3 linked regions of the Schizosaccharomyces pombe genome follow. Changing the gene in region 2 together with the main gene of any one other region gives a genetic interaction. Each region holds a gene or a part of one and is shown on either strand. Other genes may lie near its edges.

Region 1 (7,565 bases), 610 kb from region 2:
CTGAGCGACATTTTGGATCGGAGATACGTTAGCCGTTACAGCCGCCGAACTCTTCATATCTGGAGAAGAGGCACGAGACGCATAATTGGAAGGACTTGTAGACATAGATGCTACAGATATTGCTTTTGTAGGCTCTCTAACAGGTGTACTACGTATAGTGGTAGATTTTTTGAGAATTTCTTTATTTCCTTCTATTTCCTGACGTTTTTCCTCAGGCATGGCCTTAATATGTTTGAGGGAAACAGTTTCAATGTCAGGATAGTCAAGAAATTGTACTGTGTACTTTTTGTTTGCACCGAAGCCTGAAACAGCAGTAATACGTGAAGGATAAAATAAATAATCTCCTGAAACCCATCGGGCCATTACTAAATTTCCAGGCGTAAAGTCGATATGTACTGGCTTTGAAGTATTGAAACCTGCAACACCATTTTGGGAATTTTGAAACGTATTTTTATCATTTTCTACACTTTCTTGTAGTAAGTTTTCAGTAAGGCTAATTAATTCCTTTAAATCATTTTCCAGTAACTGTAATTCCTCGTTTTGGGGAGTCTTCTGAAGAGAAATTTGAACGAGAGCAAGCTGGCTCTTGTATTCCTCTAATTCCTTCTCCATACGATTACTTTTATAGATTTAATAGATTTTTTTTTCAAACAGTAAAAATTTCCAAGTGTAATGGCTTTATCGCCAAAACCGGTTGTAAGTGTAGATAATATGTGAAGCAGGCGCTCAGTGAAGTGCCTGAAAATTAAGCTCAGCTATTACACTAGGGTGAAGAAAACAATATTGGAGTGAGATTAAATTTATACTAAAAGCACTAATTCTTTAACTCAATATACTAAGACATTATTGATAATAGTTAAAACAAAGAAGAATATTTGATATTTCTATATTCAGTATAATCAAGACGTAAAAGAAAGTATTCTATCAAAAATTTCATGCTCTCGAAAACTATGGATGGGTAAAAAGAACTGGATAATCAAGTATTTTCGAGGTTCGTTTATGGCGTGCATGATATCGATTAAAGGCATTGAACGTTTAATGCCGCATAATGGAGGATAAATTATTAATCCAGAAGACAATATGTTTCCGAACTCCAAGCATTCCTTCTTTATATGAATTTATTATTTTCTAGGTCAGCTAGAAGCAATGGCATTAGGAGGTACTATAATTTAACGATTTCACTCGTATATCTTTAAAATTTTGGAGTAAATGAAATTCTTACAAAACAGTTTTACTAGGACCATAAGATCGATCCATAAAGACCTTCGAGACTTCCCAGGCAAGCCAATCGCTGGTAGTCGTTGGCAATAATCCCATTCTTTGCAGCTTATAGACTCCAATCCCCATAAGCAATAATTGGAATAAAATATAAGCACCCATAGCGGGCCAAAGGGTTCCTGGGTGGGTGCCTTTAAATGGGGTGAAGGCAGATCCTGTAGATGTTATTGCTTTCAGTGGATTTACAAGCAACATAAGAGTCGTCATAATACTGAAAATTTGTAGTGAATTACCAGACATGTATGCTAAAATAGCGTTCATAGGAATTTGTTTAAGGGGGGAATATGCAAGCTCCCATGCTTTCTTTAGTAAGAGATCCTTTTGTAATTCTTCCTCTCGTTTAGCAAATATGGAAGTTGAGGAAGCTGAATTTCCTGAATGAATGTTTTTGGAAACCAACGACTTCTGTTGAAATCCTCGAGGCGTAGGGAACTTGTCAGAATTGTCAACGATCTTTTTGGGCTTCTTTGCTAACGCTGGTTTGACCAAATCGATCCAATCTGTTTCTTCGTTAATGTGCATCTTGAAAGGGAAAAAAGAGAAATTTAAAGTTGCGACTAAATTTTTGGACTCGTAAACCAAGGAATAAATTTAGTCAATGAATGAAAAGCCTGATTGCAGCTAACCTACAGTCAAAAAGTATTGGTAGCACCTCAATTATGTTTCTAAAATACGAAGACCAGCCTTATTTGATGTTTCTGAAACAAGATATTTCACCAGAAGTCAATCTCAGTTTTTCGTTATTTGATGTAAGTTGGGTGGTAGAACAATCTTTTCAAGCAAATTAATAACTTTGGTTGAAGTTAAAAATTTTCTGGTCTAAATAATTTGAGAACACGCCTCAAAATATAATATTTCAAAATAAACAATATAGTGGAGGTGGCAGATGCTAAGGAACGAAACTGGTGGTAATAGTGAAAAGCCCATCAGCTAATGAATCCCAAAAATACAAGCGCAAACAATGGCAAAAAGAAAGCCATCCTGTTATAAAAGTTCAAGATTAACTTGCTTTTGTGCTTTCTTTGGTTTTCTACTGTCTCATGGCCCGGATATGAATATGTACAACGCTTAAACATCTAATGTTAATGATTTCTTGTTAATTATCAAACCCAACGATCATTATTGATTACAGCTGGAATTAGTTTTGGTTTCTTTTATGGATATAGGATCTTGATCTTGAAAAAGTTCTGACTCTTTATCTTACAATGGTAATACCATGCTCAATGATTGATATTTTTACACTGAGATGTTTTCAAATATTCAATGGATAAAGAACATATCGTTTTGTAACTTTTTAAGCATAATCTCGTTAGCCAAGCTATTACATAAACAAAGATCGGATACAGTATGAAAGTACTCATGGTGTAAATATTTAGGAAGACGTGTTTTGGAGGGCACTCTTTGTGAGAATTTTTTTCTTATTCTAGAATATGAGTTTTAACATATTGCCGCAAGCCCAAAATTGAGTTGTACGACTCAATATACTCTGCCTAAAAAGTAAGTGCATTTTCGAAGCATAAAGAAAAAAAATGAACATTACTGGAAATTTATTTTGAAATAATCGCTTTTTAATCGTGTAATGTATTGTTATTGATTACCTTACCGATACTGATAATGCTTGCTTTTCTCCTGTTTCGAGTTTCCGTTCAAAAGACTTCTTGTTTATGATATATGACTGCGCATAAGAAGTGATAATTGTCCTTGTATATTAATATTGCCTGAAATAACTTGTAAGACCGAGCGTCTAATTTTTAAAAATATATAATATCAAGAGGAAAAACTTGCCGTTCTGCTATGATAGAGCAAAGTCGAAAACAACGTGAACCTTCAACGAAATTCTTTACAATTTATAAACCATTTCAAGTCCTCCATTCTTTAAAACGGAATGATTCTCCTTGCACTCGAATCTCACATAAATATATTCAACGAAATATAAAAGACACTTTGTTTATTTTCAAATAGCTTGTTTGCTAGAATTGCTGCTACGACTAATTCAAAGGCAGCCTTTGGAAATTGAACAACATTAAATACGACTCTAGTTTCCATTGTTTCATTACTGCTCTTTTATACCGTTCACAGTTTTCTAAGACCCCTCAAATAAAAGCAATTCGCGCTTTTGTAACTAACTTCATTCTGGCCTAATTCATACGAAACACTAATGAATGGGATAAGGACCGTTGGGCAGTTTTCTGAGTAAAGTAATAATAACAGTATCCTGTTGCATTTGATCAAATTATAAAATGATCTAAAAAACTCAAGCACCCATGATATGAACCGTAAAAAACCTTTCCTTTTTCAGAGACCTGGGTACAGAAACTTGATCACGGTTTATTATAGATAAGGGCCACTGTAAAAACATAATTCAAAAAAATATAAATCAATGTTATCTAAAAAAGCAGAGAAATAAGAAATTTCACTAATCAACAGTAAACGTGTGGGAAAGGTTGAATGTTGTAAGACTAGCGTCACATCCCTCCAAATTATAAATCAGAACAAAATTTATACTGACGCTCACGAAATACAAATTACTGAAGATTCATAAACAGACGATATTTTCCTTGATTTTTGTTTCAAGTTGGTTTTCCCCATTTTGAAACTATTTGGTATACCAATTGCACCAGAACTGAAAGTATAGTAGACATTTACTTTTCGTGAGAATTAGAGAATTTCTTAAAATTATTTTTCTTCTCGATTTGACTGTCATTTCACAATGCCTATTGTGAACGGTTTTAAAGTAGGACCTATTGGCTTAGGCCTTATGGGTTTAACTTGGAGACCCAAGCAAACTCCCATTAAACAAGCCTTTGAGTTAATGAATTACGCCTTGTCCCAAGGTTCGAACTATTGGAATGCTGGAGAATTCTATGGCATCAATCCTCCTACTGCCAATTTAGATTTGTTGGCTGATTATTTTGAAAAGTATCCAAAAAATGCCGATAAAGTATTTTTATCAGTTAAGGGAGGAACAGATTTTAAAACACTCGCTCCCCATGGAGATCCTGAATCAGTGACTAAGAGTGTAAAAAATGCACTTACTCGTTTACGTGGAAAGAAAAAGCTAGATCTCTTCCAATGTGCCCGAGTTGATCACAAAGTTCCAATTGAAACTACCATGAAAGCATTGAAGGCTTTTGTAGACTCAGGAGAAATTTCATGTGTCGGTCTTAGCGAGGCTTCTGCTGAAAGCATCAAACGCGCCCTTGCCATCGTGCCTATTGCGGCAGTCGAAACCGAATACTCTCTATTCTCACGAGATATCGAGAAAAATGGCATTCTCGATACTTGTACACAGCTCTCTATCCCAATAATCGCTTACGCGCCTTTCTGTCATGGACTTTTAACTGGGCGTGTCAAGACTGCTGAAGATCTTAAAGACTTTATCAAAGCATTTCCCTTCTTACGGAATATGGACAAGTTTAATCCAAAAGTTTTTGAAAAAAATATCCCGTTTCTTAAAGCAGTCGAGCAATTGGCTCAAAAGTTTGGTATGAGTATGCCTGAATTCGCTCTTAACTTCATTATTGCAAACGGAAAAGGCATGATCATTCCTATTCCTGGATCTACAACTGTTCAACGAGCTGAGAGCAATCTTAGTGCACTCAAGAAATCTTTGAGTTCAGAACAACTTGAAGAGGCTAAAAAAGTTTTGGATAAACATCAAATCTTTGGACTTCGTTACAACAAACAACTTGAATCCACCCTTTCCATCTGAGCATGATTTTAGCAACTTCACCGATTTGAGTTTTTTATTTAATATTTGCATTTAACCTTAACTCCTCTCTAGATTTAGATGTATACATGCTGTGTCATCCTATCGGCATCAATACAATAAAATATTTCTTTAAAAACTAAGACTGTAGTCTTTGAGTTTATTCACACCTTTATATATTATTCTCTATTGTCAGTGATTTATCTTACACTGTGTAAAAAATAGAAAGTAAGGTAGTGTAAGGAACAAGAAAACTTTCAATAAGCTTTGGGTATAATTGAATAATCAGAAACTTCCTTTACACAGAATAATCATGACTTTGGTGACACAATTTTTTAGAATGTCAACTGCTCTGCATAAAGTAATTTAGGAACGAAATTGTAGCCTTGATATAAATTCAACCCTAAAGTATTATGATGGTCTACGGTTATTTCGGTCTAGTCGACGATGCACAAAATGAGATGTCAATAAGCGCGATGCTTCAATCATTTTCTTGAAACTTATTTTAATCAATAGGAATTATCTACAGATAGGTTACGCTCGATTATTAATTGCGATAAGAATTTACATTGAATTGGTTGCCAAGGCTGGAGATTCATTTTTGAATTCAATACAACAATGAAAACCCAACGTATTATGGTGCTTCAAAAAGCGGTGTAGTAGAAAGTATTTTATTTAACTGCTAGTATCTTCTACGACTGACAATCGTTACTCATTTCTTAGGTGTTTTCAATCCTGCATCTAGGAAGACGATCATCATTCTTACTCTTATTGTTTCCGCCAATATGCTTTTGATATTTAGTTATCTAAATAGTAGGCTGCTTGTATCAGTATAACATGTAGCACCAAGGTATGCGTTACTAACAGTAGGATGGGTTTAGTGGTAGTTGTGCTAACTATAACCAAACTCACCACCAAAAAAAGCAATTTTTAACACAGTGCTATTCAGTACGATAAGATTGAACTGTTTATGGAATAAACACCTTGCAATTAAAGTATGGATTCTACGGCTGGCTCCGATGCTTCCACTCCTACAAATCACACGGTAAGCTCGAAGAAGCGAAGAGGACGCCCTCCTAAGGGTAGTTACGCCGCATATGGAAGTAGTGATGATGATGATGAAGAATACTCTGGGCGTACGCGTCGTAGAAATCGTAATACTCGCCCTAGAGTTTCAGCGCCGTCTTCTAGCTCAACAGTAGTACCGAAGGATTTGTACTCACATCGGGCTACTTTGGAAGATGATGAGCTAAACTTTGGTGTAGTAGATCCAGAAGGAGAGAAAAAAGTGAATGAATTGGGGTATTTGAATGGCGGTCGAGAGTATAGATGTCGAACGTTCACGTGCTTAGGTCGTGGTAATCGATTGTATATGCTTTCCACCGAACCAGCGAGAGCAATGGGCTATAGAGATTCGTATTTATTATTTTTGAAGCATCGTTCACTGCATAAAATTATTGTTGATGATTCTGAGAAATGGGACCTTATTGAACGAAATATTATTCCTCATTCTTACAAAGGCCGTGCGGTAGGTATTGTTGCTGCTCGTTCTATCTTTCGTGAATTTGGTGCTAGAATCATCGTTGGTGGTCGACGAATTGTAGACGATTACTGGGAAGGAGAATTCCGCGCTCGTGGTTTCGTCGAAGGAGAATTAGCTGATCCAGACGATAAATTGCCTCCTCCCGGTATGCCATACAATCGAAATCAATACGTCGCTTGGCATGGAGCTAGTGCAGTATATCACCCGCAGCCTTCACTAGAAGCTCAGCTGCCTGCAGCTGCTCGAAAAAGAAAAAAGGAACCTCCAAAAGATGCCACATGGCTTTTTCAACATGCTAAAGCAACTGCAGCTTACAATAATGATATTACAAAATACCTTGTTCAAAAACAGGATATCGGTTATTTTGAACCACATACTAACTTGTTGCATGTTCCCCTTAATACCCAACCTACAAAAACCCATTGGATTCAGGCAAAGACTGGTACGGAATGTCCTGCACCTAAATTGGATATTCTCGTTGCTCTTAACTCGGATGTGGCTCCACAGGTGTCTATTGCAAATATCCCTCCCTCCGTTTATGCGAGTTGTCCACTCCACGTTCAAGAGGCTATTCGCAAACGTCAAGAACAAGAGATTCGTAGTATTCGTTTGAATAGCATGTACTAGAGTGCTCGTTTTCTTTTAATCCTATTTTGTTTTGGATGTTTTATAATATTAATTTTCAGATTGTATACAGTCATTTATCACACGTACGACGTAAGCCCGAATTATCTTCTTACTCGAGTTATTTACGGAGAAAACATGCGTTAACGAAATCCAAAACTTGTTAATCAATTACTTTAGTACTTTGTTTTTGCTTAGTAAAGCGGAAAAAAAGATATTGTCTACAAAAATCAGATGTACATTCAACAAAACTATTAAAGAAATGATGGCGCGACGTTTCCATTGAATGAAACGTTTACCAACCGAAACCAATCGATTAGCTTGTATCCTCTCACTTGTCCTAATCGGTCCAGCCGAGGGCGAAGAATATTATGGAGGATTGTTTGATGAATTATTGGGCATGGTCAGGTC
Region 2 (7,844 bases):
ACACAAAGAGGAGAGTTTTTCCAATCAATAGTATCATTTTGTTTACGAATGGAAGAGGATGGCGAACCGATCTTTCCCCTTTTGCCAACCCGCTTAAACCTTTTAACTTCTCTCTGTTTCTTTACCTCATCTTTTTTCTCGCTTGATTTATCTGAATTGGACAATTGGGTTTTTCGTCGAATCAGAAAATGGATCAGTACAGGCAGCAGCAAGACTATGTACAATACAGCCCGGTATTCTTCCCAATGCTCCCCGATGTACCCCAAAGAATACCCCATGGCAATGATTTACCACTGGAATTTAGCAAAGAAATAGTATCCTTGGTGGTTGGAAAAAGGATTCTTTGAGGTGTGGCATATGGAAAAGACACAGGCAAATTTCACCAATAAGCGCCAACAGAACTAAGTCCAGCTAGAGAGTACTAAAATGAAGGATGAACTTTTAAATTAATTTAAAATTTTTACTTATTTGTTTATTTTATGATTAATTTTACCTTATTAATATATAAGTGCTTTCATCTAAATGATGGAGTGCTGGCCAAAAAGGTACTTTTTGTAAAAGTCAACATTCTTGAAAATCAAACTATAAGAAAAGCAATATCTCTTAAAATACCTCATGTGTAGTAACATTTAGAAAAATTGCTAGATAGCTAGTGTTAGACGTAGTGAAAATGATACTTGGAGATGAGACACTTTCAAACGATTGAAGAAAGAATCAAGGATGAGGGCTTTGTAATGATTGTTATTTGTGAAAAGTATTCAAAAAAGATTTGGAATGTTTGATGAGAGTTCATTTTTAAAGATTTTACGACATGGGAATATATCAGTAAAACGAAGAATAAAAAGTAAATAATGCAGCTAGCATGCTGCGTCTTAAATAAAGAGCAAAAAAAAAGATATAAAGCAAAAGCGATAAATGAAGAAAGTAAGAGAAAGAAACCAATTCAACTATACCTTTGTAACATCGAAATTCTCCAAGCTTAGCACCTTTGTTATATGCTTGTCCGCAGCTTGTTCTGGAGAAAGAGAAAAAAAGGGAAGAATATTGACATCAGGAACCCACACAACTTTCATGCCTGCCGCCCGGCCTGATTGAACTCCTGTAATGGAATCTTCAAAAACCAAGCAGTTCTCTGGCAGGATTTCTGCCTGGCCTTGAGCCTTGCGCTTGTCGTTGATCATCTTCAAAGCGATGAACCAAATATCTGGGTGAGGTTTGCCTCTACCGACGGGTAATCGAGGGTCATCTCCAGTGATAATGTTTCCATCAAAATGATCAAACAAATGACTCAAATGAGCGGACTTCTTTTCAAAGTTGTGTGTGTCACTGGAAGTGGCTAGTGCTATAGGAATGTTTAGTGATTTCAACTTACTTAACAAATTCATAACGCCAGGTAAAGGCTTTGTATGCCTCCATAGTTCAGCTTGAGTTTCACGTTGTAATGCTATGTATTCTTCGCAGGTCAAATCAATACCCGACCAATCCAAAAAGATTCTGCTGGCCTCCTTTGAAGTTCGGCCTAAAGCATGAATGATTAGAAGGTTGAAAAAAACAACAACAGCTCAAAGCCACTTACCCATCATCTTAGCCTTGACTTCCATGGAGAAGGGGCCTTTGTTATAGCGCTTTAAAATGATATCTAGACGCACCGTTAGCCTAACCAATACCTTTGAACAGAAAGGGAAAAGGAAGAGTAAAACTTACTAGTGCTTTTTGTGTAGATTGACTCTGTATCGACCAACAAGCCCTGTATTCGTTAGATAGAAGGACACTTTATCGCTTTTCAAGTAGTATGCTTTAAGGAATCATCAGGCTAAGCACTTTTAAGTAGAATGAAAAACAAATAAACGATAATAAATATTGTATTTGTTGATCATGGACGCCGTAAATGATCCATATTATTTTACTATGTACGTACGTCCATATCGAAAAGACACGCCTCAGGAATCATCTTTAAAGTAAAGTAAGGGTTTTAATAAAAAGAATGTCTTTGTTTTTCTACGATGAAGAAAGATATTGTTGAAAGGATATATACTATTCGTAACAGAATGAAACCAATTTCGATCAGTATACGGACGAAAGCAGCAATGGGAATGAGATGAATATACGATAACTTATCAAATAATTCAAGTTTAGACAATCACAGTCGTCCTTAATAAATTCTGCTAGAAGTAGTCAAACGTGGAGTTGACAAGTTGCAAGACGAGCCATTGTTTAGGCAAAGGTGAGAAATAGAATATTTGTGGCATTAGGAAAGCTTTTGGACTTGCAAATAGAATTGCTTGAAAATAATGAGTGTAAAGAGAGGTAAAGTTGGCGAATTTGTTGAGTCAGGGATTGAACTTGATTCATCTAAATGATAATGTTATGGTAAGATAAAAAGAAACTAGAAAAAAATAGAAGAAAGTTTATAAAGTGCAATGACATTGAATTTACTCGACTCTCTTCCTATTACACGACAAGCTCAGTTTATGGATGTTTATTTGTCTACAAACAATTCATTCACGTGTGACTTTGAACTTGACCGGAAACATGTTACAGAAGGTGGTTTGAAAGTAAAATTGATACGGGAATGGGTGTCTTATTGAAAAACTACAAAGCTGTACTCGATGACTATGGAATGTCATCAGGTGGATATACAGATAGCTCTTTTTAAATGTCGAGTGAGATATCGGTGGTTTATTTTGAAGAAAATTACTTAAAAAGTGATTAAAGTAATAATAAGTAATGAAAGTCAAATAAAAGGCCTTACGATTATCTGCTCGTCAACTATGGGTATACAGGTGTATCTCACACTATGCTTGAAGATTTCGCTGACGATTATATAGACAATGTCCATAAACAGGTTAAAACCAAGCCTTTTTAATTACGAACTTGACCATTTCTGAAGACTGTAGATACCTTAGAAGCTAATCTCATTTGTATTACTGTAAGAGGCAATTCGAATCGACAAGAGTGTAGGTAGAAGAGTATACCTATCCAAAGAGTATCAGATGCTTTTACCAATTTAAGAGTTTTCCATGGATATGTATTCAATTTTAGGTCCAACTATTTAACACTTGTGCGAACATCGATCATGTCCGATGCAGCAACTTGCTGCTGTCATGTCGCTCAAACCAAACAAAAGAAATGTGCCAATTAACAAAATATTTCCAATACTATACTTGTAACGTTCTAGCATTAATACATACCTTAAGGCACTACTTGCAATCAGCCCAGTCATGTCAATCTCTTCAATATCTTGTTCGGGATCCCGCTTGCGACCAGCGCATTATTTTTCTTAGATTACTGACATTATATATTTCAATTTGGAACAAAAAAACAATCTGATTTCGACCATTTTTTAAAATTTTTCTTTTTCATAAATTTTTTCGACTTTTCCTATACTTTCGATGGTGAAGAATGCATTGAGCACAGTCTGCAGCTTCCATTTTTTTCTTCTGAAATTTTATAGTAAAATCGAAAGTTTTTCATCTGCTTAAGCAATCAATTAAATCTAGACAAACATTGCTAAGTTCTCCGCAAATTCAAAGAAACTTTGGCTGACGTACCTAAAATGCTTAAGTGGAAGTTTCCACGCTACACACAACTTAACCAGAACCTATATCCTTAGGAACACCAAGAAACTCAGAAAAGGTATGTTTGTAGTGTTTTTTAGGAAAAACGAAGTTATTTGTCTGGAAAAAGTATTTACTAACGAGTTTTTGAGGTAGTTTTATCAAAATGTCTTCATTGGAACAATTAAAGGCCACTGGCACTGTTGTCGTCTCCGATACTGGAGATTTTGAATCGATCGCCAAATACAAACCCCAAGATGCCACCACAAACCCTTCTCTCATCTTGGCCGCTTCTAAGAAGCCCCAATATGCTGCTCTCGTCGACGCTGCTGTTGACTATGCCAAGGCAAAGGGTGGTTCCATCAACTCTCAAATTGAGATTGCTTTTGATCGTCTTTTGATCGAATTCGGTACCAAGATCCTCGCTATCGTCCCTGGCCGTGTCTCCACCGAAGTTGATGCTCGTTACTCTTTTGACACCCAAACTACTATCGAGAAGGCTCGTCACCTCATCAAGTTGTACGAAGCCGAGGGCATTGGTCGTGAGCGTGTTCTCATCAAGATTGCCTCCACCTATGAGGGTATCCAAGCTGCTAAGCAACTCGAGGAAGAGGGCATCCACTGCAACTTGACTCTCTTGTTCTCTTTTGTCCAAGCTGTTGCTTGCGCCGAGGCTAACGTTACCTTGATTTCTCCTTTCGTCGGTCGTATTCTCGATTTCTACAAGGCTAAGAATAACCGTGACTATACCGCTCAAGAAGACCCCGGTGTCGTCAGTGTCTCTAACATCTTCAACTACTACAAAAAATTCGGTTACAAGACCATTGTCATGGGTGCTTCTTTCCGTAACGTCGGTGAGATCAAGGAACTCGCTGGTGTTGACTTTTTGACCATCTCCCCCGCCCTTCTTGAGCAGCTCAACAACAGCACCGACGCTGTCCCCAAGAAGCTTGATGCCTCCAAGGCTTCCAGCCTCAATTTGGAGAAGGTTTCCTACCTTACTGATGAGCCCAAGTTCCGTTTCGACTTTAACAACGACGAAATGGCTGTAGTCAAGTTGTCCACTGGTATCGCTGCCTTTGCCAAGGATGCTGATACTCTTCGTACCATCTTGAAGGCTAAGCTTGAGGCCTAAATATTTTAGCTGCAACCAGTTAGGTATACCGATTTCTTTCATTTTGTTAGGAGTTTTTTAGCTTACTTTTTTTTACCCTTTTTACTGCTAGCATTCCGTATGTTGAGGTTTCCAGATTATGATTTTAAGGATGTTATGGCAGTCTTTTTTAACAAAACACAAAAAATAAATCGTACTTGCGAGCTATAAGTGTGACTAAGCCTTTAGGTTTGACGATTGTTATATAAATGAATATATATATTTTGTATATATGTATTGCGTATGTGGATGGACATATTTACTTGTATTTTGGAATAAAATATATGATGGATCTCAACTGCAAATGGTAGAATGTGGAATTAATTATTAGCAAACACATTTCAAAACTATTTAAGTATGTAATTGGAAGAGCGTAAAAATTTCGTTAATATTAATTAGTATATTACTTCCGTAACATAAGAAATTCACTTTGAAAAGAAGGATCCCATAAAATTGGGATGAAGATTGAATAGAAAATAAAAATATCGTAAAGATAGAAGAAAAAGAAAATTATATCCTGCTGTGAAATAAGTTATATAATGAGAGGAGTGATTGTTTAAACTAAAATAGTTTGTACGTCCAGCATCAACTTACGGTCTTCAGGAGGCCATTCCAAGCGTTTCCAAGTACGAACTGCGCGCTCAACCGGGTCCAACTCAAAAACCCTTGCACGACGAACGTAGCCACCATGTCCTCCATATCCGCCAAACCCAGCACCTCCAGCAAAGCAAAAGTATGTGTTATAATCTGGATGGATTCCACAGAAATCATTTACATGGTCATGTCCTGCAATAGCAAGAGGAATACGTAAACTTTTCAAAGCTTTCGCAGTATTTGGATCACAAATGGAATAAGAACAGGGCTCTCGAAATGCACCAACAAGGTCTTCAGTCTCGCAAAACTCCTTCAGAGGGATATGCAATACAGCCATTTGAATGGGCTCGTACTTGAAATCCGCAACTTTACTAGAAAGCCACTCCAGTTGATCCTCGGTAATAGCATCGTATCCAGGGCATAATCTTCGATTTGAAGTATCTCCCTTTGTATCTAAAACGTAAATGGCAAACTTTCGGGGACTATGTAAAACAAAGTTACCAACACCAGAGACATTTCCAATCAAACCCATACTACCAGGAATCTGACTCAAAATTTTGGCAAGCTCTTCCCTCGATAAATCTCCCAAATCATCGTGATTTCCGAAATTTACAGCAAATGGGACGTTGTAATCAACAAAAGGGGACACCGCTTTCATCAAAGAGCTTCTAGCGTCGCGTGACGTGTCGCCGTTAATTAAGTCCCCAGTCAAAAGGACAAAGTCCGGTTCCTCTAACTGTAATAATTCATTCACGAAAGCAGTAGTTTTTGCATCGGCCATACAATCCTCTGCAGTCTCATACGGATAAGGATCGCGACACGGTCTGTCAGAATTTGAATAGTGCAAATCAGAAAGCTGAAGAATCTTAATTGTCTTTTTTTCTTCGTCATCATAAGTAAGGGTTACGGATGAAAGCTCCTTTCTCTTAAGCGCTTCAATAGATGGCGTCGGAGGAGTTTCACAAGGTCTTTGCGTCAATAGGACCGGCTGTCCTAAATAAATAAAGTCATTTAGAACAGCAGACCAACCCTCTCGTAATTCAACAACATCCTCACCCAACAATGTATTAAATTCGCAAATATCACCATCCGTTCCATAACGAATTTGAATACCGTGCTTGTTACGCTTTTCCAGCTGTCGATCAACATATACCTGTTCAACTAAGACAGTCTCCCCAGGAATATACAGTGCTGGTCGTTTCACGTAAAGGTAGGCACGCTTCCAAGGAATTCGGGAACGGTACAGATTCCGACTAGTACGGGCCCATTTCCAAAATTCCAAAACGGGACGACAAAAGGGAGAAAAGGAAAAGCACTCGACCAGCCTTATATCTTCGATTGGAGTGTTCAGTGAGAAGGGTCCCGACTTTGAGTCAGTGATTTCAATGGTGTTGAGCGAATAATCAACAGTCAATAATGCTATGAAAGCCGCAACTATGAAGATTGCCCTTTTACGAAGGAAATGAATAATGTTTCTCTTTGGTAGCATCATTTTGCTTAGTCTTTGAACACGAGATTAGTAATTGTAGGAATGTATTTTTAACCGAAAAACGTCCCGCGAGAACTTTTTCTTTTACGGATCAAATATTTGACAAAGAAAAGCAATATTTATATAACAAATGTGCTTCAAATTAAAAGTTTTTATGAAAAACCTGTAGAATTGACTGAATTCATGAAAGCAAAAGGATTATGTGGATATTACGGTAATGTTTACATGGTAGAAGAAGGCTTTTCAAATTAAGATTCGAATGCGGAGCACAAGAACGAATCCGTTATCTATGCCTAGCGTAGTGCAGAATACTCACTTAAGAATCGCTTTCAAGAAACTTGCTTATCATAATACTTGAAGTTGGAAAGAGCTCGGTATGTGAAGAGATGAGCTTAACGTAGTTTAGCAGGTTCTCAGTTATTCTGAATGTCTATTAAAATTCAGCATTATAGCGACTTTTCTTGTGAGTGAAAACAAACGTTAAAGCTAGATGGCATTTCGGAAGAAGAAAATTGCATGGATAAGCTCTCAGATACTCATTGACATTAATATTTTCATCTCACTTATTTTTTAATTTCTAGCGGTGAGTGTTTATATGAGAGGTACGGCAGCTCTCAAAATCTTAACAACCATTTTGGATTATATTTTAAGCTCTAACTTTTTGTTAAGTATTATTTTCTGAGAAATTCTGCTTCATACTGTAGTGGTACGAGAAAACTCGCAAATGAAAACGAATATTTCAAGGTACTATAAATCTCGCTTAATTCAAGCTTAATTTGGCCGACATTTCACATGTTGTGGCCCATGAAACATGTGTCAATAGTTGTATAACTGTGTAAGGGTACTATTGCGTTAGTTTCTTACCTGATCTGAAAAGTTTTAAGCTGCCAGCAAGTCGATATATATAGAGGGTTTTGCGGATCTTGTTTTTTTCCGGCATAATTATTGTGCCGAACCACTAAGCCGAACCAAAGAGTAATTATCATAACGCAAACTCTTTCAAAATAAAGAACCCATTTATTCTTCAACTCAAAGTTCAAGCAGAATACCT
Region 3 (7,620 bases), on a different chromosome or scaffold from region 2:
GCTAACTGGTTTTGGAATTTTTTGATTTCTTTCTTTACTCCTTTCATCACAAATTCTATTGGTTTTAAGTATGGTTATATTTTTGCTTCATGTAATTTAACAGGTGCTGCAATTATTTTTCTGTTTGTCCATGAGACCAAGGGTCGTACATTGGAAGAGATTAATACTATGTACGCATCTAACTTGAAACCATGGATGCCTCATCCAGAGGGTTACAGAGAGTTCGGTCGTGAGCAAAACAACGCAACTTTGAAGTCTCACATCGGACTCAATGGAGAAACAACCGAACTTATTGAAAATACCGATAATCAAGGAGACAGTGGGTCATTCCAAACATCAACCCCGGATGATTCTAGACCTGAACAAAATCAAGCTTCAGCAACATATATACGTCCTGATAAACGGGAGCCTCGTCTTTAATGCATATATCGTATTTAAAAATAATAACTCAATAAAATAAATCTACTGATTATATTGAAGTTCTAACTAAATATTTTGCATTAATACCGAAAAATTACTTAGTGCATAAAGTAACCATGAAAACTTTTGTTTTATAAAAAAAATGTTATAAACAGTTTAAGTTTAAATAGTAGTATAAAGCATGCCCTGGTGACTGAAATACTGTTAAATGCTTTTCTGTTCTCCGTGTAGCCGTATACCTGCAGGAATAGGATTTTCAACCGGATATTTAGTATAACTTAAATCTATATATTTATGAATACGATTATAAGTGCGAGTGCGAAAATTAATTTTTTTATTTTAAAACGACACATATTTTTCTGGCTTCTATGCAAATTCTGGTTTATGTAATATTCTGATACATAACGATTTTAATTTTTATTTTTTGTATGATAATATATGAAGTAAAGAAGCAAAAAGTAACTATTTGCTTTCTTATTCATCATCTATTTTTACGAAATTGCTCAAGGTAAATTCGATTTATTGCTGATTTATTTTGTACGATAACAGGCAAGTCAATTACTTTATTAAAATAAAAAAAAAGTAAATAAACAAAAAATAAATATTTTAAGTACTCATGTAGTAATAACATTAGGAATGGTTTTTATTTTGGCACTTTTTTAATTCGTCTTAATGAACATTAAACGGAAATTTATGCTTAATATTTAATAGAGCCCAAAAAACATATATGTCTTTACCAAATTATAAAATAAGTATCCACTTTGTGTCGTCTAATTCTGTAGAAACAATTTTGTAATAAAGCATTGATATAACACATTCTGAATCGAATTTAAAATTGGTTTCCTCCTTACTCAAATATGGAAGTAACAATTAAAGTTATTGAGCCATAAAGCAAAATGACTAAATTCAACTAGATCCTTTATCGGAAGCAACAATTCGGAAAAAACCCTATATAAAATGCAGGTCGGACATATAAAAATTGTCTAAGAAACATTTTTTAAAAAACTAAACTAAGTATATTGTTAATTATAAAACTCTTGGTATAATTGATATTTTGAGAATGAGTCTTTGACAAATGTGGAGAAAGATAATTTATCGTAGTCCGAAGTTTTGTATGGACAGGTTTATCAAATTGTATGTCATCTTAGGTTTTTTTTAAAAGAAAAACAGTAGCAAACTTCGGGAGTTGTACTGCCATAAAGAAACTTTAGTAAGGGACCTCGCTTGGTGAAAAGAAATCAATAACAAATAGACTTGTAAAGGATATGCATATTTTTAATATTATTGTTATTTTCCACTTTCCAAAATTAGCTGTATTTTATTTAAATTATCTTTAATTAAACTTAAAAGATACTCTTTTTTTTGATCTATTTGATAGTTCAATCGAACTTCTATTTTTTAGTCCCTATTTAAAATTTTAATCTGAAAACTAGCATCAGCATCTGAAAATCCAGCTAGCCAATGGTTATTTAAAACACTCAGTTGGAATGTGTTTAAACTTAAATTAATAGTTTTACTAAATTCTTTAAATCTAGGTTGAGCAAATATATTATTAATAATCTGATTATATTTACTAGTAGTTCTAAATTTATTATTAATTAAAGTTATTACTCTTTCAATTCCTTTAGAGTTAGCTATTATAAAAAGAATAGCATTTTTATCTTTAATTTTACGTACAATACCAAAATCAAACATATCAAGGAATATATCGTTAAAACTGAAATTTATGTAATTATGATCTTCAAATTCATTATCTCTTAAAACCTTCACATCACTTAAATATTCAGTTTCGAGTATATTTATTTCTTTAAGTTTTTTATTCCTCATGCCTTCACACAAACCACAAGCAGTGAGAAGGGCCTCTTGAGTCATATGACTATGAAAAGTATCGGCAATTTCCTGTAATACTCTTAAAGATTTTCCTAAATACTCATAGATTCGATAGTATCTATGGATAGCAATACGCAAATAGCATGAAAGGGAACATCCACGATCCCCTACCACGCTTTCCTTTGAGAAACTAACTGCTTGCAGCTTTCAAGAGCTCTGTCGATAACAGAGAAAAGGATGGATACAATTACACAAAAAGGTTTAATTCTTGCAAGAAATAAGTTTCGGTACAAGTGAAAACATACCGTTGCTTTTAGCAATACAAGTGCTGGTGAATGAATGTCACAAAGCTGGTCCAGTCTTTGGAATGCTTGTAAATATACAAATCTTGAATCTTCTGATATTATCTGGTACTCCATTATGATTTTAAATAACAATACAAGCTGATAAGCAGGTCCATCCTCTTCAACCATTTGGGTTGTTATGTTCGTTAACTCTATTCCCCTCGTTCCGTATTCAGCTGCTAAAATCCAATTTAAGGATCTAGCAATCCAAAAATTTTTTTCTCTTGACAAAAAAATCTAATCGTTGTTTTCTTCACCATCCTTGTCATTCTCTACCCGTATTTTACTTATCTCCTGATGAAGTCCTACAATTTCTGCATAGTGCATGGAGACAGAAGAAGCAATCCAGGAGAGGTGAGGACGAGTAGTAGCATGTAAGTAAATTGTTCTTAAAACCCAACAAACTGTAAGTTGAATCGATGATAAAATTGTGGTCGACAGTGAACTCTCCAAAACTTGCGTTATATGCTCTACTAGTTTACCCTCTAAAGACTTGTCCGAATCGGACGAAAAAAAAATCCTAGTATACTTACTGAAATCACGACGTACTCAGAGCAGCTATCAGTTGATTTGTTGTCCCATAAGAATTGGATCTTTTTCTCCATGGCTTTTTGATCAAACATGCTAAATATGGGATGAACTTCTTCAAAATATATAAATACGTACTTTAAGTATTTTTCTTTAGTTATTAGTTCCGTCAACTTTGGAAACACATGGTTTTTTTTTTCACTGCGTATTCCCGCATTTCATGCAAATGAATGCAAACGAGAAAGGTAGTTCATTTTTGGTCCTTCTCCTACTATCCGAGGAAATACTATGGCGCTATTTTCATAAAAAAATCGAAATTTCTTGGGTTCATAGTAAGGAACCATAGCTGTAAAGTTCTCAGCTTCATGATGAATATCCATTCTTGGATTGCATTGTGTAAAACTCAACTTCCCGTCACCATCTTCTTTATTATTGTTAGTATCCGAAACAACCTTTATTCTTTTAGACCTGTAATCACTTCCGATTTTAAAGTTCGCATCATTGAACAAGGATGCCTCGGAATTACAGGTAGAAGTCGCTTGGCCCTCATAAGCACATTGGTACTCATATTTTTTACAATATAGGCAAGGGAGTTGCCCATCACATTTTTGCTTTTTAGAGCGACATATTACGCAGGCCTTTTTTGTACGAACGCCATTTTTTAAACATCGCTCCTTTTAATATAAATTTTTTCAAGGAATTCCTACCTACACATGAAAATTTAGGATAAATCTGCTACAATCAAATAAAAAAGAAGCCTTACTAAGATGCATGTAGTTGTCGTTGAAGTTACTTCATATTAGTAATGACGACTAACCAAACTTTAACGAAAGTAACAATGTATTTAATGATGGGTATTTTTCAAATACTTAATAAATGTGCTCTTATGTATGTTTAGTAAAATGGTTAAGTAATAATAATGTAGACATTTTACTTATTGTTATTAATTTAGATTGCAAATAAATGGCTTAAGAAAACATATGTTTCCAATAGTTAACATTCTTAAACTGATATCAAACTTTTTCTCAAATCAAAATTTCAAATTCAAGCTAATAACTAAGTCTTTAAAATTTATAAGCGTTTTTACTAAACGCACGGATTTTTTTACCAAAACGAAAAAAAGATGAAAGGAATAGGTATCATAGCTATCGAGATAAATCCAAGCACGTTTGTAGCCCAGTGGTCGCCTAGATTTAAATACATAGGGCGTGCAACTAAAGTTATGCCACCGCTCACACTATACCGAATTAAGGTCGATGCAGCCAATGCACTTGGCGCCATATGCTGATAGGAATCAATAATGTAATTATAACAAACATAAAATATAACCAATAGAGAGAACCCAAAAAAAGCACTAGATATGATCCGTACTATCCAGTGGATACGATTGGGATAGCAAGTCCAAGCGAACCAAAACATAGAAATGGGGAATAAAAAACATGCAATAAATAAAGGATAAAGCCTGTCTTCCGGACACGTCAGACCGTTTCTTTTCTTAGTAGTTGTTAAATAATGCCAGTAAACCAATGGGGTACAGGAGCCAGCAACAGCCAGTCCTACCCCAACACCAATAAATGATAATCCTTGTTCTCATTGATTGAAGTCGTATTTGGCATATACGATAGGATATCCCTCAAAATTTATGTAACTGATAACATAAATTACAGTTAAATATAATGTAAAACACACCACAATAGGTTCTGTGAAAATCAGGGAAACCGCCTGAGTAGCAGCTTGAACAATTGCATTTTTTGGATCACGTTCGCGTTTGTGAACTGTGTACCATGCAGAATTACCGGTTGTTTTACGTAAGTGTTTTGCTTTATAGTCAAGGATGGTATCTTCGTGAGGTACTGGAAATGCGAGGAACACAACCACAAGAATAGTAGCAGCCCAAATCATGTTGATCCAAAATGTCCATCTCCATCCTAAATAGCTCTGCGAAATAAAATTGCCAATAATTGGTCCAATTATGGGACCTAAATATGGAAAGGTGCATAGTGCGGGAAGAACATAAGTACGTTGGATCGGTGTGAATATATCACTAATTGTTCCTCCGCAATTTGCTAGAGGCGTACTTCCAAAAAAACCCTGAAGAAACCTGAATATGACTAATGACCAAACATTGCTAGCGCAACCACTACCGATTTGAAAAATAATGAAGACAAGCAGAGTTCCAATGTATACAATAAGTCTTCCGTATATACTGCTTAGTGGAGCAAATGGAATAGAGCCTACACCGAAACCGACCAAGAATGTGCACGTTCGCAGAGTGGTAACTAAAATAGAAGATCCAAATCTTCCGATATTTCAACTGTACCAGTGGAGTAAACACTGGAAGCGAAGGTTACAACTATCGTGATAGTGGAAACCTGAATAACGACCCACCATTTTCTAGTGTATGACCAATTTCGAGGATTTAAAGGGTCATTTAAACCACCCCAAGTAACCAAATATGGAACTTGGATTCTCGTATCTACTTTTGAATCATGTGAAAAATCGCTTTTGTTGTCAGTCGATAGCTTTTCGGTAATCTTTCGATTATTTTCATTCAGAGAAAATGATGGATAAACTTTTTCTTTAGAAGATTTTCGATCTAAATTAGCATAATGATGGTTGGATTTTCTTCCAGTTGCAAGAGCAATCAAGTCCATTTGTTTATCCAGCGAATGCAAAAATCTAAATACTTGAAGATTATTGTGTTCTTGATGAATCTAAAAATGGCAGATTATATCTATATATATGAAAGAAATAAGTAATTAAAGTCTACGCTCCCAATTTATTTGATCCGCAATAACCGCATAACATACAAACAATAAGTTATTTATCAGGAGTTCCTTATTAATCATTGCACTTACTTTTTAATTAATTAAAAAATAATCTAGATATAATTAAAAAAAAAAGATACTTGGCTGACCATTTGATACCAGCTACCTACAGGTATACCAGCAGCGCCTCTGCGAAAGATTTAAGGATAGTAATCAATATAAGTCAAGTTTTTCTTGTCCTGAGTTTACTGTAACGCTCGATTTATACTTTTGTATCTAGAAGATACTACTAAGTCTCTTATAAAAAAAACGCAAGAAATTCGCGATTGTAAAATTTTCGTGGTATATTTTAAAAGTTTCTTCCAATCCTCATTCTCAAACTCCGAAATTGTTTATTACTTCATGGGTTGATATGCATTTCTTAAACTTTTTTTGATTTTTATGTAAATGTCACTGGTTCAAATCTTCCAGTGAACTATGAATTCTTTTTTATAAAGACTACCCTTTATCACATTCAGCTTAGCACGGTAAATACCATCGTATTGAATGACAATAATTTGACAATTATTCCGTAAATTAACAAGTTTTATAGAATACAAATGACAGTAATAATACTTTATAGATCACGAAATAGTAGTGCAATAATGCTCAGCTGAAAATCCAAGTGCATCGCTTAACCAAAGGATATGGAAGAGCGATACAATCAACATTAACAAACGCGTTTGGATACACAATTCTGTTTGATTTTACCTCACTGTGTATAAAATTAGTATATCAAATATTTATAATTGGACATAGAAGTTATCTTAAACATCGAAACGTTTAGACCATCATTTAAATTCACCATTTCCAATGAGCTCAACTACTTAAGGAGAAAATACAGTCATGTTGCAACGAAAGAAAAAAAGTTTCATTTAGATCAATATGTTTTTTGAAAAACACAGAAAGCTCACTCGTAGTCACAAGACCGATATGTTACTTTTAGCTTGGTATCTCGTTTTGTTCGTTTTTTACTTTTTAGAAAGGCAGGTATGGAACAGCAGAAGAATAAATAAATATATATTCTATTAGGTAACAACAAAATAGCAATTTTTAGACTTCTAATAATGTAGAATATTTGTAAACGAAGCTAATTTGGGAATGAAGAATGAGAATTTCAATTCAAATATCGCACTCCTGAGAATTACAATGAAACTTACTTGAAAGATTGTTAAAGCCAAAAGGTTAAAGCAACAAACCTAATATGAAAGAAGGAAACCGAAATTGAGAAAAAACTATTTTTATTTAAGTTAAAAAGAGAAGAGAGACAAATAAACCAATTTTTCAAAAGGCTTAGCAATATGAATTTGTATACTAAATGCAAAGTTATTGGTAAAAAAAAAATAGAAATATTGCTAAAAAAAGATAATCTAAGTGAATAATTTCATTAATTATTTTAATAAAAGAAGGTTTTATAATTAAAGCTTGGGATAATCTTTAAAAAAAAAAAAAAAAAAAAATTTAATCAGTTAACCTTAATCTTAATTTTTTTATTTTTTTGACTTTATTATATTAGTCAATTTTATTTTTCATAACTTTTTCTCCAATGCTTCAATTTTTTTGTAGTTATTAAAATTGGGTAAAATACATAAAAATAATCAGTTCAATCAACGACTTAGCATACAGCCTTTTTCCCTTTATGTTTAATTCGTAGGCTTTTTTAGTTTTCTTCGTTGTTATATCTTTAATCA

Evidence for each region. Genes that interact genetically often act in the same process or in processes that back each other up.
Region 1: mutations in SPOM_SPCC1020.07 (region 2) and akr7 together harm fitness more than expected from each alone (negative genetic interaction), as found in Schizosaccharomyces pombe (one large-scale study listed by BioGRID).
Region 3: mutations in SPOM_SPCC1020.07 (region 2) and SPOM_SPBC1348.12 together harm fitness less than expected from each alone (positive genetic interaction), as found in Schizosaccharomyces pombe (one large-scale study listed by BioGRID).

The regions. Positions count from the first base shown.
Region 1 is NC_003421.2:1,382,814-1,390,378, forward strand, and holds akr7 (pyridoxal reductase), read left to right. Parts: upstream 1-3,791; 5' UTR 3,792-3,988; coding exon 3,989-4,990; 3' UTR 4,991-5,148; downstream 5,149-7,565. Other genes in the region: splicing factor Spf30, read right to left, coding at 1-612; chaperone EMC4, read right to left, coding at 1,219-1,800; RSC complex subunit Rsc7, read left to right, coding at 5,985-7,157.
Region 2 is NC_003421.2:769,775-777,618, forward strand, and holds SPOM_SPCC1020.07 (pseudouridine-5'-phosphatase), read right to left. Parts: upstream 2,190-7,844; 5' UTR 1,952-2,189; coding exon 1,919-1,951; exon of another isoform or gene 1,748-1,918; coding exon 1,705-1,747; exon of another isoform or gene 1,640-1,704; coding exon 1,577-1,639; intron 1,520-1,576; coding exon 948-1,519; 3' UTR 501-947; downstream 1-500. Other genes in the region: wybutosine biosynthesis protein Tyw1, read right to left, coding at 1-278; tal1 (transaldolase), read left to right, coding at 3,724-4,692; dcr2 (phosphoprotein phosphatase), read right to left, coding at 5,267-6,796.
Region 3 is NC_003423.3:31,387-39,006, reverse strand, and holds SPOM_SPBC1348.12 (DNA-binding transcription factor), read right to left. Parts: upstream 3,896-7,620; coding exon 3,836-3,895; intron 3,797-3,835; coding exon 3,395-3,796; exon of another isoform or gene 3,360-3,394; intron 3,260-3,359; coding exon 3,124-3,259; intron 3,080-3,123; coding exon 2,882-3,079; intron 2,774-2,881; coding exon 2,418-2,773; downstream 1-2,417. Other genes in the region: hexose transporter Ght7, read left to right, coding at 1-420.